Linked DNA regions of Arabidopsis thaliana. The protein of the gene in region 3 purifies or fractionates together with the protein of the main gene of each other region. This does not show direct contact. Each region holds a gene or a part of one and is shown on either strand. Other genes may lie near its edges.

Evidence for each region.
Region 1: the proteins of FMA (region 3) and PSBR purify together in Arabidopsis thaliana (affinity purification with mass spectrometry, with the first as the bait; one study listed by BioGRID). This does not show direct contact.
Region 2: the proteins of FMA (region 3) and PyrD purify together in Arabidopsis thaliana (affinity purification with mass spectrometry, with the first as the bait; one study listed by BioGRID). This does not show direct contact.
Region 4: the proteins of FMA (region 3) and AT1G15730 purify together in Arabidopsis thaliana (affinity purification with mass spectrometry, with the first as the bait; one study listed by BioGRID). This does not show direct contact.

The regions. Positions count from the first base shown.
Region 1 is NC_003070.9:29,734,271-29,737,516, forward strand, and holds PSBR (photosystem II subunit R), read left to right. Parts: upstream 1-1,681; 5' UTR 1,682-1,814; coding exon 1,815-1,974; intron 1,975-2,065; coding exon 2,066-2,124; intron 2,125-2,210; coding exon 2,211-2,266; intron 2,267-2,363; coding exon 2,364-2,511; 3' UTR 2,512-2,739; downstream 2,740-3,246. Other genes in the region: RECA1 (recA DNA recombination family protein), read right to left, coding at 2,814-2,936, 3,059-3,131, 3,239-3,246.
Region 2 is NC_003075.7:11,209,328-11,214,239, forward strand, and holds PyrD (Cytidine/deoxycytidylate deaminase family protein), read left to right. Parts: upstream 1-1,916; 5' UTR 1,917-2,749; coding exon 2,750-3,118; intron 3,119-3,214; coding exon 3,215-3,513; intron 3,514-3,590; coding exon 3,591-4,203; 3' UTR 4,204-4,369; downstream 4,370-4,912. Other genes in the region: AT4G20953 (uncharacterized protein), read right to left, coding at 431-668, 1,201-1,537, 1,725-1,782. UniProt on the Arabidopsis thaliana protein: Monofunctional pyrimidine deaminase involved in the riboflavin biosynthesis pathway. Also has a reductase domain that lacks catalytically essential substrate-binding residues.
Region 3 is NC_003074.8:8,714,594-8,719,905, reverse strand, and holds FMA (basic helix-loop-helix (bHLH) DNA-binding superfamily protein), read left to right. Parts: upstream 1-1,694; 5' UTR 1,695-1,829; intron 1,830-2,073; 5' UTR 2,074-2,133; coding exon 2,134-2,151; intron 2,152-2,287; coding exon 2,288-2,953; intron 2,954-3,065; coding exon 3,066-3,500; intron 3,501-3,730; coding exon 3,731-3,816; coding exon of another isoform or gene 3,817-3,820; exon of another isoform or gene 3,821-4,341; coding exon 4,342-4,381; 3' UTR 4,382-4,788; downstream 4,789-5,312. UniProt on the Arabidopsis thaliana protein: Transcription activator. Together with MYB88 and MYB124, ensures that stomata contain just two guard cells (GCs) by enforcing a single symmetric precursor cell division before stomatal maturity. Together with SPCH and MUTE, regulates the stomata formation.
Region 4 is NC_003070.9:5,406,866-5,411,954, reverse strand, and holds AT1G15730 (Cobalamin biosynthesis CobW-like protein), read left to right. Parts: upstream 1-1,911; 5' UTR 1,912-2,017; coding exon 2,018-2,332; intron 2,333-2,430; coding exon 2,431-2,496; intron 2,497-2,574; coding exon 2,575-2,755; intron 2,756-2,855; coding exon 2,856-3,052; intron 3,053-3,216; coding exon 3,217-3,267; intron 3,268-3,362; coding exon 3,363-3,454; intron 3,455-3,636; coding exon 3,637-3,752; intron 3,753-3,838; coding exon 3,839-3,924; intron 3,925-4,069; coding exon 4,070-4,174; intron 4,175-4,282; coding exon 4,283-4,420; 3' UTR 4,421-4,554; downstream 4,555-5,089. Other genes in the region: AT1G15740 (Leucine-rich repeat family protein), read right to left, coding at 26-154, 231-446; TRFL5 (TRF-like 5), read right to left, coding at 4,645-5,089.

The DNA.
Region 1 (3,246 bases), on a different chromosome or scaffold from region 3:
GAAAGACAAACTTTCAAAAAGTTCTTCGAGGAGAGAGAGACGACAAAGTTTCGCGTATATAGAGAGAGAGAAGAAGACAACAAGATATAATCCATTGAGAAGAAGGCAACAGTATAATTAAGTCGTTAATCATTATTAATTAGCATTGTTTTTGGCTAATTAATTAGCGTTATTAGTCGTTGTTAAATGACCTTACTTACTTACTGGAGTAGTCTAATTTTTTCTGGGTCCCACTTTACTTCCAAGAGTGTGAAATCACCTGCGGCTGGTCCTACTATACCATAAAGTCAAAACCGGACCGGTTCAGTTCTGTAAATGTTGAATTCTAAGCAATGGATTTAAGTATTTAACCGAACCGACTCTTTAAAAAATTGCTGTTCGACAAGTTTATACAATTATTACTGTTCAATTCTTCATTTGGCATTATATGATATATCGATTTAGTTGTGACTTTTGAGCATGTGTTTTTTTTTCTGATTCTAAAGTTGTTTTGGAAAAGATTGTTTGTTTTCATTTGACATTATATAGTTAAGCATGTTCTGTTATCTGTATACAAATCATCGTGCTTGTGGTTTTGGGATTATGTGAAGTAATACAGCAAAGATGCGTAATTTATTTTAAGTATCAAAATTATTCTCTTATCCACATTGTATATAGTCAAAATATATATTACAGACTGAATTAAACAGACTTAATAATAGGCAAAATGTACATATATTTGCATTAGAAGATTTCAATATATGTGTTTTTTTTCTTTCAGAAAGGTCATTTGACTCATAAGTTATAACAGCTAGCTTATATAGTCCTTAGTCCTTACTCATGAAAAAAGAATAATTTGTTTTGTTATTTGGGGTCTACTACTAACATTAGAAGCAGACGTGGGATTTAATTTGATTTATTAAAATTGTGGTGGGTAATATTTAGACTGAATCTATGAAATCGATAGCTTGTAACCTTACTCACTCTCAATTTAATTATATTAGTTTTGTTTCTCATCACGACTGAGACGTGTAACGAATATATCGACTGATCAACCACTAGTTATTAATTTAAACGACTTTAATTTGTATTAATATCATATCTTAATGACTTGAGTAGAAGAATAATAGAATAAGCATAGAAAACATTGACCAAATCCTTGTGTACGATACAATCATGTATTATATACAGATTTATTTGTTACTAGTAAATATGATTAGAACTTGCATTAGACAATGGTCAAGTTTGTTGATGTTTCCAGTTATGGAGAAGCCATAATTTGAGTAGCATTAGACATTGATTAATCAAGAAAAGAAAAATAATATCATCTACTAGTGTCAACACTACAGACGCAGCGAGCGAGCAATTATAGACGCAGTATCTAAACGCTGATCGGTGTACGAATTTGCGGTTCATTTCAACGCTTGGCAAAATTCACAACGTGGAAGACATTGCGAGTTTACGACAAACTAGTGGGGTTGTTTTAAGTAAACTAAAACTTGTAGGGGTTTTCTCAAAAATAAAATAAAATAACTTGTAGGGGTCACAAATGAAAAATAAAAAGTATTGAATATCCTACGTGGCATTTGTTTTTTTCATCTCCTACGTGGCATTACGAAATGAAGAAAAAACTGATCTGACGGATCTGCTTAACCAGTTGAAGATAACGTTAGTAAGGAAGATATCCAGACCAAAGCCACACAACATTAGCCACGTGTCATAACCACAATCACTTACCGGATCTTCTCTCCCTCGTATTTGAAGCCACACAACATGAACATTAGGGTGAGAAGAGATCGAGAGAAGAATAGTTTGATCATCTTGTGAGAAAAATAATGGCTGCTTCAGTGATGCTATCTTCGGTGACATTGAAACCAGCTGGTTTCACGGTGGAGAAGACGGCGGCTAGAGGATTACCGTCGCTCACAAGAGCTCGTCCCTCCTTCAAAATTGTCGCCAGTGGCGTCAAGAAGATCAAGACCGACAAGCCCTTCGGTTCGTTTATATTATTATTACACAGACTTTTACAACATATACACGTTACCGTTCATGTATAGCTTATTTCCGTTAATCGATGTGTGTGTAGGAATTAACGGCAGCATGGACTTGAGGGACGGCGTCGACGCCTCCGGCAGAAAGGGCAAGGTTTGTAGTAACTGAAAACGGTGTTGTTTAATATCCTTTTTAATAATAATTTGGTGGGTTCTCTAAACAATGACGTATAATCGCAGGGATACGGTGTTTACAAGTACGTCGACAAGTATGGAGCTAACGTCGATGGATACAGGTGAATTAGAATTATCATCCTCCATAACATTTTTTGTAGATAAGAAAGAACCATGGATTACGTAGTAGATGATTGATTTTTAATGTTTGGGTTGCAGTCCTATTTACAACGAGAACGAGTGGTCAGCGAGTGGTGACGTGTACAAGGGAGGAGTCACCGGATTGGCAATTTGGGCGGTAACTCTCGCCGGAATTCTTGCCGGAGGTGCTCTTCTTGTGTACAACACAAGTGCTTTGGCTCAGTAAATCTTAAAGTTGTTAGCGCATGTGTAATCATGTTTCTATAAATGTTTCTGTGTTGTTCTCTTTCTCTCTAATGTTGTAAAACTCAGACATACTTTGAATTTATAAGACTTCTAGTGTTTGTATATATATTCATCTTCCTATCCTTTATGATTTCCATGCACAAGAATGGTTTCGGATTTAAGACTGAACCATATGAGTGTTTTTTTTTAATTGATGAAACTTGAAACAAGAGGTGAACATGATGAGAGAAAATCAAGTGTTGTACATCCATAGATCCGAAAGTCTCAAGCTTAAGTGTTATGTCATTGGAAATCGTCAAGCGAGTCTTCTTCTTCTTCTTCGCGATGTGAAGCCGAGGAAGAGCTGCTGCTCATCAAAGGAGTTGATCGATGAACTTCTCCATCTAACATCAACAATCTCACTTTCTGCAACACCATTGCCAACGTAAGGAGGACGAATTGATGCAAAAAAAATTACGTTCTTGTTAAAAGGATGGATTTTTGCAATCTTCAGAGATGGGTTAAGATTAAGAATAGAGGAAGCAAACCTTCTCAATTTCGTCTTGAAGAGCAGGGTTTTCCCTTAAGTGCTGCAGTGCTTTCTCTCTTCCTTGCCCGAGCCTGAAAACAGAGACCCAAAACACAACCATATCTCATACTCTGTACCCACTTCTATAACATAATCAAAAGTCTTCAGGAATTATGAGTTTTCAATGTAGAATCCAAACCTTTGGTC
Region 2 (4,912 bases), on a different chromosome or scaffold from region 3:
GTCAAAACGGTGCGAGCGCGGAGCTCGGCTTAATCGGTTGTCAGACGAAACCAAAGTTTGTCGAAACTATTGATTCCGTCGAAACGGTGCGAGCGCGGAGCTCGGCTTAGCACTCCCTTAAGTGTAGGTTTTATCCAAGACCGTTTTACCGATACATGGCATACTTAAAGGGGTTCGTGCGTTCGTTTATCGATCGAATGCCGGGCCAGGACACCGATGTAAATTAGCTCGATCGCTACGAGGTCCAGCGGAACCCTTTTTAAGAATAATGATGAATTGAATTACGACAAAAATGAAAATTTTACTTATCTCAACGCAAGAGTTTGTGGTACGATCGAGTTTTGACGGTCGAGTTCGTTGATACAATTATCGAAAAGACGATGCTCAATGTCTGCCCTAGTTCTTGTCAGTTCGTTCGTCCGACGTGACGTTATGCTAAGTGGCATCGTTTTCTTCGTTTTAGTGGGATGGCGTTGGAACGAGATCTCCGACGTTTTGAGTGACGATGTGAATTTCGCTGTTGAGGAGAGTTTGGCTTTTCTTCAGTTCGCCTAGCTCCAGCGGGTGCTGTTACTTTCACTTTGCAAGATGGCGCAAATGGCGTTTGGTTGGTTGCGTCGTTGTGTACGTCCAGAGCCGTCTGGTTCTTTCGTTTAGCTTCTCGTAGCCTGCCGACATGATGTGTTTTGTTAGTCGTTTTGGTGTGGTCATTGCTTTGCGGTATTCGCAAAACATTGGCGTCAGTGTCGGATCGTCGATATCTCTTATGGCGCGTCCGACCTCATGGACCCTGGAGATGGCTCAATTGATTTGGGCGTGAAGGTCTTGCACTTGGTATCTCGTTTATAGCGGTCTGAGGAATTGCCGAGCTGGGTTTGTTTAAGACAACCTGAATTTCTTCGCGTAGGTCGGGTATGCGAATAACGACTCATGTGCATGCGGCTAATTTTATCTTGTATGTGCTCTTGGGCGGCGGTTAATAATCGCGTCGCGCTGCTTTAAATGATCGATGATGATGTTGATTAGTTCTTCGCCGCGTTGGTTGGCTTTAGCCGTATCGTCCAGGCGATGAAATCAGCTAAGTGAAGCTTCTCCTTGGTCTTTTTGCAACGCTAGGTATTCAGGCGTGGGCGATAACGAGGTCGGTACAATAGATGACGCCGAGTAGTATTCTTTATTTGAGTTTTCCCGTGCGCTGACGTTATCGTCCGAGCTGCCGAGCTGGGAGTGTCATCGTCGAGGTTCTCCAAGTGACGTCCGCCTGATGACTTCTCCTCTTGTTCTTGGTTAGGCGTGAGTGATAACGAGGTCGGTATGTTTATTGAGGTTATGGGATGTTCCTCTTTGATCGGTGGCACTTCCTCGTCGGTCAGTGTTATTGTCCTGACTGCCCGGCTGGAAGTGTCATCGCCTAGGATGATGGGGTCGATAGTTCCTTGAAGTCCTTTTCTTGTCGGAGAACATGCTGCGATATCGAATGAAGAGGTCGAGTGACTGGCTCTCCCGGGGATCGACGTTGTCGTTTTACTTCCAGAGCCTGACGAGTCGGTATCGAATGCTCCATGTAGTCTGTTTGTTGTCACTTTGCTTCGTCGCTGGGTCGTAGTTTTGAGAGATATCTTCGAGCTATCCCCCTACCTGGCGCGCCAACCGTTGATGCACGAATCACACAAGTACGAAAATGGGATCTCTAGGGAAGGAAGAAGAATCGTTCTATTAATGACGAGCCCGCGACTTAGGCGAATTGGACGGATTACAAAGGATGATTTCTTCAACAAGCATAAATGGAAAAAGAACGAGCCGATTGTAGATGAAAGACGAGCTTGAGGCCGGAAAACGATCTTGATATCCGAGGAAGAATAGAGTTTATTCGTTTTATAGCTGAACCTTGTAAAAGGCTGCCTACGTACCCTCAGAAAGGGATCAAGCCACACGTAGTTCATATTAGAATAAGTGAGCTAGGCCGTCATTGGAGGTAGGTCGGCAGGTAGTTGACGAGCCGGCAAATGTGCGACGAGCTGGATGAACCGTGGTAGAGAGACTTGGACAAACCGAGTTGTTTGCTGGTGTAGACGAGCTGGGCGACGAGATAGGTGGACTATGCAGTCAATGGACGAACTGCCGCTAGGCGAGGAGGTAGATGAGTTTTGCAGTCGAGGGATGAGCTGATAGCTAGACGAGGAGTTGGTCGAGCTGAGGAAGAGCTTGAAGACGAGCTGAGGAGCTTGATGACGAGCTGAGGAGCTTGAGGACGAGCCGAGGAGCTTGAAGAGCTTAAAGGCGATCTGAAGAGCTTGACGAAGAGGAGCGAGCTAACGAGCTTCTTGAGAAGGGCGAGACCCCAATTCTTGAGAAGGGCGAGACCCCAAATACAATCAACAATGTATGCTTTTTTCCGTTTCTTGCGTTTTGGGTTTCTTTATTTCTTATCTCTATTGAGACAAGTCTGTTGGCCCTTGAGACCCCAATTCATTGGTGTTTCTTAAACCGGATATGTATAACTGTCTAAAACAAAATTTAAAATAGCCTAGTAAACCGATGGTTATGACTGTTACGGTTTCCGGTTAGTCTTAACCGACTCTTTCAATTACAAATCCAATCTTCTCGTCGTCGTCGTCGTCTCTATTTCTCTACCACCGTTGATGTTAGGGTTTCGGCTGTATTCTCACCGCTGCTGACGGAGACGGCCCGAATCCGCAATTTAATCTTCGAGGTTCGATTTTAGTGAAGAACAAGATTCAATAGTGATATGCAGATCTCATGTCTCCCAATTTCGATTCCTTCGATCACTCCTCGAACCTCAATTCCACTCTTACCATCACTCTCCTCAAATCCTCGCCGCATTTTCAACCTCACTTCACTTCAGAGCCCAAATCACTGTTTCTTCAAAAGATTACATAAATCTCAGACTGGTTTCAGCAATCCAGTTTTGGCTGCCATGAGAAGAGAAGAAGATGTTGAAGTCGATGATTCGTTTTATATGAGAAAGTGTGTGGAGCTAGCAAAAAGAGCAATTGGGTGTACAAGTCCTAATCCTATGGTAGGTTGTGTCATTGTCAAAGATGGTGACATTGTTGGCCAAGGGTTTCATCCCAAAGCTGGTCAGCCTCATGCTGAGGTAACAAAAATTCAATCTTTCTTTGTTGGGTTACTGAAAATGAGCAAACTTTAAGTCTTGCTTGTGGAATTGTTGTTGTTGGCATTGGTATGGTAGGTGTTTGCTCTTAGAGATGCTGGAGAGTTAGCTGAGAATGCTACTGCTTATGTTAGTTTGGAACCATGTAATCATTACGGAAGAACACCGCCGTGTACAGAAGCATTGATTAAGGCTAAGGTGAGAAGAGTTGTTATTGGGATGGTTGATCCGAATCCAATTGTTTTTTCTTCGGGTATTAGTCGGTTGAAAGATGCTGGAATCGATGTTACTGTGAGTGTTGAAGAAGAGTTATGCAAGAAGATGAATGAGGGATTCATCCATCGAATGTTAACAGGGAAGCCTTTTCTCGCCCTCAGGTAAAGTTCATTGCTTCTCTTGAGTGGAGACAAATCCGAGTCAATAGATTGTTTTTAAGTTTTGAAAATCTTTGCAGGTATTCTATGTCTGTCAATGGTTGTTTGCTAGACAAGATTGGGCAAGGGGCTTCGGATAGTGGTGGATACTACTCGAAGCTATTGCAGGAATATGATGCGATAATACTTTCTTCCTCGTTATCGGATGAACTCTCGAGCATTTCTTCACAAGAAGCTATTAATGTTTCGATCCAACCTATTCAGATCATAGTAGCTAGCAATGCACAACAGTCTCATATCCTTGCTTCTTCCCACACTGTGGAAGAATCGGGTCCAAAAGTTGTAGTTTTCACCGCAAAGGAATCGGTTGCAGAATCCGGAATCAGTAGTAGCGGGGTCGAAACCGTAGTATTGGAAAAGATAAACTTGGATTCCATTTTGGATTATTGTTACAACCGTGGACTATGCAGTGTCTTGTTAGATTTGAGGGGGAACGTCAAAGACCTTGAAGTTCTTCTGAGAGATGGATTTGAGCAGAAACTATTGCAGAAAGTAATTATTGAGGTCTTGCCGGAATGGAGCACAAAAGATGAGAGACAGATCGCGTCGATGAAGTGGTTAGAATCAAAGCATGTGAAAGATTTGCAGTCTAAGCAATTAGGTGGAAGCGTTTTGCTAGAGGGCTATTTTTGATGTTTTCATGTATGAATGAATACAAGTCATGATATTTACCTTTTTTAAAGCATAGTATTATTAAGGTTTTACAGATCCTATTATTAATAGATTGATAACAGATTTTTGAGAAAATGTTGTATTTTCAAAAGAAAATATTTTCACATGTTGAGAATCTGATTCGACCTTCTATGGCCTACACATGATGGGTATCCTAAGATGAGATGTTTTTTCTTAATTGGAGTTCATAAACCAAAACCCATAAAAAAAATTAAGGATGTGTAATAGAATGTGAAGTACATTCAATGAGAACTGATTGTTGATGTCGATTGCGTTACAAATTTGACAATTCTTTTTGGATTTTGGTGGAAATGTGAACTAACTGACAACAAACATCAACCATGTTGGATTTGTTTTTGTCAAAACCGATATATCTAGAGATATTCGAAAGAAAGAACGAAATAAACACTATACAATAGTCAATTTTAAATCACTTTATGATTTAACAATCCTAAGTTCCTAACTTCAAATTTAAGATTTACAATAGCATGAATTTTAGTCTTTCTTATTGTTTCATAGCATTATTGTATTAAAAAATTACTCTACAGTTACACCATCTCTCTTTATAATGGTTGTTTCAATTGAGTTAATCATTTACTATTAATCTGAAAATTTGTAGTATGAATGTTATTGTTGGTACACAAATTGGTGATGGAACAAAAGATTAAGA
Region 3 (5,312 bases):
CTTCGCTCGCTATCATTGAAGTTTGATCTTAAAATCTATATATCTTACAGTATTTCGATGCTTGTGGCCTGTGGGTGTTATGTATCGTAATAGTTGTTTTGTTGGCTCAATTGGGAATGGTTGCAGCAAGTATTTTTTTTGGTTGATGCTTCGATGCAAGCTCTTTCATGTTTCTTTTTTTCTTTTCAACATAGTATTTGTGTAATATGCACCTACTAAAATACTCCTATGGATCCGCGACTCTTATTCCCGAAAAAGTTCACTGGATTGATCAACGTGAATTTTTACTCCACTTTTTGTTAAAAGTTAAAACGTAACCATCCACACCAGTGTCTTTTTCTTTAAATGTATATGTCTCCACGTACACACACAAATAGTATAGGTCATGTTCGTGAAACTAATTTCATATATTTGACCAGAATATTTTTATTAGAAATCATATTTTATTGACAACACATAACTAATATAAGTGCTTGAATTTGAAATACTATAGAAATAAACTAAAAGATGAGAAGCGTATAGAGATTTGATTAAGTTCACGAAAAGCGGTGGAAAAAGAGCGGCCTTGGCTTGTGAACTCTAAAAACTCAAATCTTATCATTTATGGTTTGACAAACAAAAAAAAAAGATAGATAGATAGAGAGGTGATCAGCTGATACACGTGTGTTTTCACGTTACTTCTTTTTTCGTATTTTGTGGCTCCTCACCCTTACGTCTAACGCAAAAAGAAATAGAGTATTTATTACAAAAACAAGATATGATTTGGAATATTCAATAATCTTTCTTTTGAGTCAATATTGAACTTAATTTTTGTTCAAAATAAGCTAGGGAGTTGCTCTAGATCCCCCATTTCAAATTTGACCGTAAAATTTGGATTGTTATGTGTTTCTATGTAGAAGATAGAGAAGAACTAGATAACTATATATGTAATGATATTTATATATCAAATGGGATGAAAATTAATATTGACACATTATGTGCATAATACAAAGGGATTGATTGAATGAGCATCTTTTGATTAGCCAATCATGATTTTCTGCAAAAGCATTTGGGGAGACATTGAGAACTTCCGACTGCACGGCTTTATCCTGCTACAATTGGAAGCTTTTTTTACTAAGCATTAAGTATCTCTAACAATTATAAGAGGGCAATAATAACATCCCTTTTTCTTTCTTACAAAGCAATAAAAAAGGACAATAGTAACGAAAATTCATTTTTCCCACGATTGATATCTTTTGGTTGTAGTTTTTAGATTTTCTAAAACATTTTATGTGATGGTTGATATTTCTCTACTTTTAGAAACTAAAAGAGAATGCATAGAAAATTGCGAAAAACAATGATGTCTCGATAATTAATGGGAATATGATAGTAGAATAAAACAGCCACTGCAATCAAACTACTTACTACTAATCCTCAATATTTTAGATTAACTTATGTAGATTTTCATTTATCTTTATTCTTTAGAAAATTGTTTTTTTTTTTTTTGAAACATGTTTACGTATCTTTTTTTAAGTCGTTTAATTTGTTTTTATTGGGTCACGAATGTGTACCATTCACACCCTAATTAGTAATTAGAGAAACAAATGATTACGAATATACATACTTAAGAAATTTAATGCCCCCTTGCTATACCTTGTGTACACATGTATAATGTATCTCTCTCTATAAATATGGGAGCTTGGTGATGCTTACTCATTTATGACTTCTCAATACAAAAAGCTCCCCTCACTTTTTTAAGTTTTGTCTTCTCTAATCCGTCTTCTTCTACTATCTTGCATGTCTTGCGTCTTTTATATACATCTCTCGTAAACCCTAGCAAATCATACAAGGTCAGTCCCTTTTATTTTGTTAACTCCTTACTAAACAAAGCTCTAATATATTTGGTGTTAATCATTTTTTTTAATTGTCAAAATTCAATTTGAAAACTTGTTTTGTACATATAAAATACATGTATATGTATATGGTGAAACATGTAATCTGCCTAGGTTTGGTTTTAACTTGTTCTACGTGTGTTTTTGTTTCATGTATATGTTTTTAAAACTGACTGTGAAGCTCATGGATTGTTGTCATCAGGTCAAGAAGCTTGACCTTCATTAGACTTAAGCAGTTTATAATCAACTACCACGAATAGCAATGGATAAAGATTACTCGGTACGTACGTTTTTTTTTCCAGTATTTCAAGATCCTTAATCTCTTTTCTTATACAAATTGATAGATATCTATGTATAAGATTCAAATCTTCCTGCTTATGATATTAACTTCATTCTCCAATTCTGGTTTTTATTAGGCACCAAACTTCTTAGGTGAATCCTCAGGCGGTAACGATGATAACAGCTCTGGTATGATAGACTATATGTTCAATAGAAACCTTCAACAACAACAAAAGCAATCGATGCCACAACAGCAGCAACATCAACTCTCTCCTTCCGGATTTGGAGCAACACCTTTTGATAAAATGAACTTCTCTGATGTGATGCAGTTTGCGGACTTCGGTTCGAAACTTGCGTTGAACCAGACCAGAAACCAAGACGATCAAGAAACCGGGATTGACCCCGTTTATTTCTTGAAGTTCCCTGTCTTGAACGACAAAATAGAGGACCATAACCAAACCCAACATCTCATGCCTTCTCATCAGACGTCTCAAGAAGGAGGTGAGTGTGGAGGAAACATAGGCAATGTGTTTCTTGAAGAAAAAGAAGATCAAGACGATGACAACGACAACAACTCCGTGCAACTACGTTTTATTGGAGGAGAAGAAGAAGATAGGGAGAACAAGAATGTTACGAAAAAGGAGGTGAAGAGCAAGAGGAAGAGAGCTAGAACGAGCAAGACCAGCGAAGAAGTGGAAAGCCAACGGATGACTCATATCGCGGTCGAAAGAAACCGTAGGAAGCAAATGAATGAGCATCTTCGTGTCCTTAGATCTCTCATGCCTGGCTCCTACGTTCAAAGGGTATGATATTCATAAATTATATCTTAAAGAAAGAATTTTCGTGAATGTTTTTTTATATGTATATGTACAACTAATTATACTGTCTACACCAAATATTAATTGTATAAAATAGGGAGACCAAGCGTCAATCATAGGAGGAGCAATAGAGTTTGTGAGAGAGCTCGAGCAACTCCTACAATGTCTTGAATCACAGAAGCGTCGAAGAATCTTAGGAGAAACCGGTAGGGACATGACAACGACAACGACTTCTTCTTCTTCTCCCATAACTACGGTAGCGAACCAAGCACAACCGCTCATTATTACGGGAAATGTAACCGAGCTAGAGGGCGGAGGAGGGCTTCGGGAGGAGACTGCGGAGAACAAGTCGTGCTTGGCTGACGTGGAGGTGAAGCTGCTAGGGTTTGACGCCATGATCAAGATACTTTCAAGAAGAAGGCCGGGACAGCTGATTAAGACTATAGCTGCTTTGGAGGATCTTCATCTCTCTATTCTTCACACTAACATCACTACCATGGAACAAACCGTCCTCTACTCCTTTAATGTCAAGGCAAGTTTATATGTTAAAAAGTAATTCATCATTCATATTCAGCTTTCATATGCAAAATCTAGACTCATCAAATAATACATGTAATTATCTAATCTGGATTAGCTGTCATAAAACACATTTATAATTTTATTTAGGGTTTTCAATATAATCATAGATTATGGATTTGTATTGTTAAAGTATATGTAATAACTATCAATGGCTAACATGAGGTAGATGTAAAATATGTGCAGATAACAAGTGAAACGAGGTTTACGGCAGAAGACATAGCAAGTTCCATCCAACAGATATTTAGTTTCATTCATGCAAATACCAACATGTAAGGATATATATTTTTCTGCTATTTAAATATTCTTTCGATTAAAGATACTTTTGATAAGTTTCTGTTGGTCCCTTAAAACAAAAGTTTATGTTGGTTCATTGTTATCCATTTCACATGCCTTTTGTGTTTTGTTTGTTTTTACCTTTTAGATGTCATGATTATATCTTTTTGTGTGCAATGTGGTCTATCTAATCATCAAGACATCATTACTATGTGTGTGTGTGACTCTGTGAGTGTGTGAGTATATGAGTCTGGTAAAAAGTCTTAGAGTAAAAGATATTGGTGGTTCGATGTTATACATTTTACTATTTTAGATGTCTAGCTTTTGTCTTTTGTTTGTTCTTTTACCTTTTAGATGTTATGATTATTTGCTTTTAATGTTAGATATATATGGTGTATCTAATCTATCATGGTTATTTTCTTTGTGTGTTACATATGGTGTGTATATATATATATATATATATTGTAACATATTTATCACAATATTTGAAGTGTTAAAGCTTGGAAACAATTTTATTTCAGATCTGGAAGCTCTAACCTGGGAAATATTGTGTTTACTTGAAAATCATCACACGGCGACAACTTTGTACACTGGTGAAGATTACAGTACGTAATAATCTCTACATATTGGGTTTTATTCTCCAAGCATTTGGAAGAGTGTTTAAGTTAAAGGGAGTGCTTACTTTATTTTTTTGGGGCTTTTTTCATGCAATTTAAATTTTAGTGATGATTGTGTCGCTTGTAATGTTAGAACTCGTTGTTGTGATTTCTGCTGCTTTGATTTGTAGGTTTTGAACAAGCGGTTTAGAATGCTAAACCACTTATTTACTTGAAATAACTTTTTTCACAAAATAAAAAAGAAAAGAAAAAAACAATGCATGAAAACTTTTCTTGAGGGGAGGGAGAGGAACTATCATTTTCTTGAGATTTGTCTATGAGAAATGGGCCAATATATATACAACAAGAAAACATGAAGAAAAAAAAGGTTAGAAATAGCCAGTTTTAATCTTCAAAAAATTGACCATTCGGTTAAACAAAGTGACGCTTTTACACTTTTTCAAAAGTGATTTGACTAAAGAAACTAAGTGTCAGAATTCAGAAAAACAAATTCATTTAGGAGACTCAAAATGATTGTCTTTAATCTTTCTCTCGTACGTCAACAAAGACGAAACTCTTGTCTTCATCTTCTTTATATATTCACCATTAGCTCTAATCCAAGTCAGATCCGACACATACACAATAAATTCCAAAAGCACTGCTTGGTTTTCTTCTCACACCAAGTAGGTTCGTACGGGGGTAAGATCTTGACAGAGTCCAAGGCCAGAGAATTCCAATTCCAAATCCGTCCAAGACTTGAAGATCCTTTGTTATATAGCTTATATTAATTCATCGAAGGTAAGCAAAAAAGATTCGTGTTTGTCAATCGTATTATTGTGTTAAATGGTAAGATAATCATTGTAATTACTTTTGAAAATGGAGAGAGTTGATCTAGA
Region 4 (5,089 bases), on a different chromosome or scaffold from region 3:
ACAAGAGAAACACCAAGGACTTTACCTGGATTGCACAGTCCCGAAATGCCTCAAGAGACTTTAAAGTTAACCTCTGGGAATAAACCAATTCATCAAAAATCTGCTGACTGATATCTCTAGGTAGGTCAGAGAACTTGGTATATCTATCAATGTCCTGCAATGAAACAGAGTTCAAACATTAGGCTAGCGTTTATACACTAATTAGAGCCTGGTAAGTGGAAACAATATACCTCCTGTATCTTGCGGACACAGAGCTCCATAAGCGACGGGCATTCTCCATTCTTCCGTTTAACATCGGAGCCAGACCTAGAGAGCGAAGTAGCTAACCATTTCGAACTTGAACTCTTGCTATATTTTCCAGAGACACCTCTGTTTAAAATATCCTCAACTTGTTGATCTCTCTTCCTTGAACAAGCTCCTCCCATGATAATGTAATCCAGAATCATCAATCTTCTTTAGAGACTGAAACAGAGCACGATCACAATCCCTCACTCACGTCAAAAATTTGACTTACAAAAATTTCCCCAAGAATTTTTCATTCAACTTTGCAGGTTCTTATACATAAAAAAAAAACCACATTTACCTTGTCAAAGATCTCTACTTTCGTACGATCATCAAAAAGAGATAGTCAAATACGATAAAATGATTCAAACTCACATCAATCGGATGAAAACAAACACAAACAATTACAGTAACAAATGAGATAAGTGTGAATCATCACTATGTGAAGCGTTTAATTCCCAACAGTAAAACCCAGAAACCCAAAGTAAAGCTAATTCAAACAAAAACGAATCAAAGAGATTAGCAAGCTTAATATAAAAGACAAGTAAAGGGAAGCAATATAAAGTAACTGTTCACCAGGAAACAGTTGTGCTAGTTGATCGAATAAGCTGATACGTACCTTATCATAACGACGATCGATCGCAGATTATTAGTCCTGAGGAAATTTTGTGAGGGTTTAACAGTGATCTCTTTGATCAAAACCTTTTTTTTGTTTTGTTGGTGTTGTGATTTTGAGGAGACGGTGATTGAACAAGGAAGGTGAGGAATAAGAAAGAGAGAAGAGTATAGAAATGTGCAAAGTGGCCGTGAGCCGAGCCTGTTTCTTAACCTACTATCGGATGACACGTGTAAGATGAATCACCCTTAGTGAGGAAAGGAGTTAGGTTCGGAACAATCTAATGCGTTTTTGAGATAAGATGGAAGAATAAAGAAGGTCAAGGTCCCACTTTTAAGTGGACCCCTCTTTGAGATTTCAACGATTTATTTCTTTTGTATTGATGTTCCTTGTTGTTTCTTTTCTTCTTATTCCTTTTTGTTTTACTCCATCTCAATTAATTAAACCTGCGTTACAACACAAACTTCGAATCGTATAGTATTTCATTTCTAAATTCTAATAGTATAGGGAACTCTTAATTTTTTTGCATTGGACCAACGTTACTTTTTGCTTTTAAATATACAAACTTTATATTCAAATTAGCCACATTTTTTAGTTTATAACCGAAAAAAAATTGTGAGATGATGAAGAGTAACCTTGGATATGCATAAACAAGAAAATCAATAAATATAATTACTCGAAATTTGACAGTTCTTGTTTTAGAAACAATTTTAATCACATTATCTTCTGTTGACATCAATACAGTTGCAAAACAAACTAATTCTCGAAACTGATATCAGAAATTGTCGCCATATATTTGTTATAACTAGATTTAGGATTATGCTCTTCTTCAAGTTTTGCATCTAATTTTGATGCACGCATTCTGAATTTCTGATTAATATATTTTGTAACAAAAATGACTACAATATCTCATGTGCTATAATTTTAATCCTTTTTCATACATTTATGTTTTACCATTTTGTTTTTCTTTCGAAATAATACAAGTCAAATCTCGACCGTTGGATGGAACCGGAAAAAAAAAACAATGTAAAAAAACCGCGTAAATTCTGAAGCTAGCAAGTGTCTAACTGTCTATCTCTATGTCCGAACCTTCACAGAATACCTTGAACCCTAATAACAATGGCGACGCTGTTGAAACTCGACATAGCCACGACTTTCCTTGCTTTCATCGTTCCCCGAGCTAATACCTCCTTGAACCATCGGTTCGCTTCTGCTAGGCTCAGTACAGCCACAGTTTCCCTCAGAACGAAGTCGTCATCGTTCTATTCCGCGGCGCTTTACTCTGACAGCCGTCGGAGATTCCACTCCGCCGTTGCCTCTGATTCCTCGCTCGCCGTTGTAGATGATGAAGATATCTTCGATGTTGCCAGTGAGATTTTGCCCGACAATCGAATTCCGGCCACTATAATCACCGGGTTCCTGGGCTCTGGTAAGGTGAGGCTAATCTAGGGTTCATGATTCGGAAATTCCTGCTCAATTTTGAGCGATCAGATTCTGAATTTCACTGGAATTGTTTTTTTCTGAGTGTATAGACAACATTGCTAAACCATATATTGACGGGAGATCATGGGAAGCGCATAGCCGTGATTGAGAACGAGGTATTGTCTGAGAAGCTGAATAGAGATTGTTTTATGTTTTATGGTTTCACTAATTTGTTCTGAAATGTGAATTCTCAGTTTGGTGAAGTCGACATTGATGGATCACTTGTGGCAGCTCAAACTGCGGGAGCGGAGGATATAATGATGCTTAACAATGGCTGTCTGTGTTGTACTGTTAGGGGTGATCTTGTGAGGATGATTTCTGAAATGGTCCAGACCAAGAAAGGAAGGTTCGACCATATCGTTATTGAGACGACAGGTTCAATATTTTCTATCACTCTGGAGCTACATGATTCGTTAAGAACCAACTACTATGTTATTAAAGAATAAATGAATATATTATGTATATTTTCTTTCAGGATTGGCTAACCCTGCTCCGATTATTCAAACTTTCTATGCTGAGGATGAAATTTTCAATGATGTCAAGCTGGATGGGGTTGTCACTCTGGTTGATGCTAAACATGCTCGTTTGCATCTAGATGAGGTCAAACCTGAAGGCTATGTCAATGAGGCGGTTGAACAAATAGCTTACGCGGATCGTATCATTGTTAACAAGGTATTGTGAAGTTCTATTTCGACCTAATTTTCATGATTAACATCACCATAACTTGTATTTGAAATGTGTGGTGGATGCTTATAGTAGAAGCTTTTCAATGGTCTGCTATGTATGTTCTCCTCGACATATCATACAAGCTGAAAATTGTTTGTACTTTGTTGTAGACTGATCTTGTTGGTGAGCCAGAACTAGCTTCAGTGATGCAGCGGATAAAGGTAGGTTCTGCTTCTTCTGATTCTTTCTTTTTTCTCTTTGAACATCTATTTTTCTCTGTGCACTGCGTTAGCATTTATGATGTGGTTATTTCCAGACCATAAACAGCATGGCTCACATGAAGCGGACAAAGTATGGGAAGGTTGACTTGGATTATGTTCTTGGAATTGGAGGGTTTGATCTAGAAAGGTCCGGTTTTATTTTACGTCTTACTAAAAATCTTATTACGAGTCACTCCGAAAACTTCTGTCCAAAGTGAATTGTAGCTCCTTACATTTGTTATGGTTTATTGGTTGTGGATTTCCTGGTTTAAGAGGGCTGATTTTGTTACTCTGATTTATTGCTGGTGGCCAACTATTTTATCTTTCCAGAATTGAAAGCTCTGTGAATGAAGAAGAGAAAGAAGATCGCGAGGGTCATGATGATCATCACCATGGTCATGACTGCCATGATCACCACAATGAGCATGAGCATGAGCATGAACACGGTATGTTATAGTGTTACCAAATAATGGCCTTATTACTTAATAACGATCGCCTACATGCATTGATTAGTTTGCTTCTGAAACTGCAGAGCATCACCATTCTCATGATCACACCCATGACCCTGGTGTTGGTTCAGTCAGTATAGTTTGCGAAGGAGACTTAGACCTCGAGAAGGTATTAACCCAATATGGCTCAAGTTGTGTCACATGTGATGCATAAAACTGTAGCACCTGACGTGTTACTTATAATTAAAACGATTGTTGAGATGTGCGATTGATTACTTGCATCATCTATAACCTTAGTTTTGAAAATGGATCAGGCTAACATGTGGCTTGGGGCGCTATTGTACCAACGTAGTGAGGATATCTACAGAATGAAAGGTATCCTCTCCGTACAAGACATGGACGAGAGATTCGTGTTTCAGGTGACCAACCTTTGTCATTATTTTGATCATTTCGGATGAATTCTAAAGCATCGAAGCCTTGGGATGTAAATTATCTCTGACGTTTGTGGTTTATAATGGTTGGAACAGGGAGTTCATGAAATATTTGAAGGATCACCTGACCGGTTATGGAGAAAAGATGAAACAAGAACCAACAAGATTGTTTTCATCGGCAAGAATTTGAACCGGGAGGAGTTAGAGATGGGTTTCAGAGCTTGCTTGATTTGATTATAGGACCAAATATTTAAAATCATTCCATTTTGTAATCAACTGGTCAATAGATTTTTGAACAAGAAATATCGTCTAAAGCTTGACACTAACTACAAGAGCCTGAATCAAGAACATATTAAAGCCTTCACCGTACAAAAAGTGAGTCCCTTTCTAACACAAGCGGCAAAACTACACAAGATCCCAAAACCAAAATGCCCATAAGTTAGAAGGTAAGATTCCTACTACTGACGACCAAGTAAATTCCTCCACTTATCCTTCAAATCCACCTCGCTCCTATCAGCGAAAACAACAGGGTATGAATTCTTGATATCTTTCCATGATTTTCCATATTCTTTAACTCCTTCCCTCAAAGCTGCCACTTCTTCAGAAGTCCAGAATTTCATTGGCCTTCTGGGACGCGGTCTTTCTAATCTTCCTTTCTTCAACGGTGATACATTCAGAGGTTCCGGGGTTGGTAGATGAGGCCTGACTCTTCTAGACGATGATGTTCCCTCACTATCTTCTGCATCAGTCCTATTTGCCCCATCAGGCTGAGGAGTGACATCAACTGAATGCTCCATTGCATTGTTAGGTTCTTGATCTTGCCTTGTTATAGGGTCGATGAGTCTTTGAATCTCCAACAAAAAATCCTTAAGCTCTCGAGCTACCAACATTTCCCCCTTATTA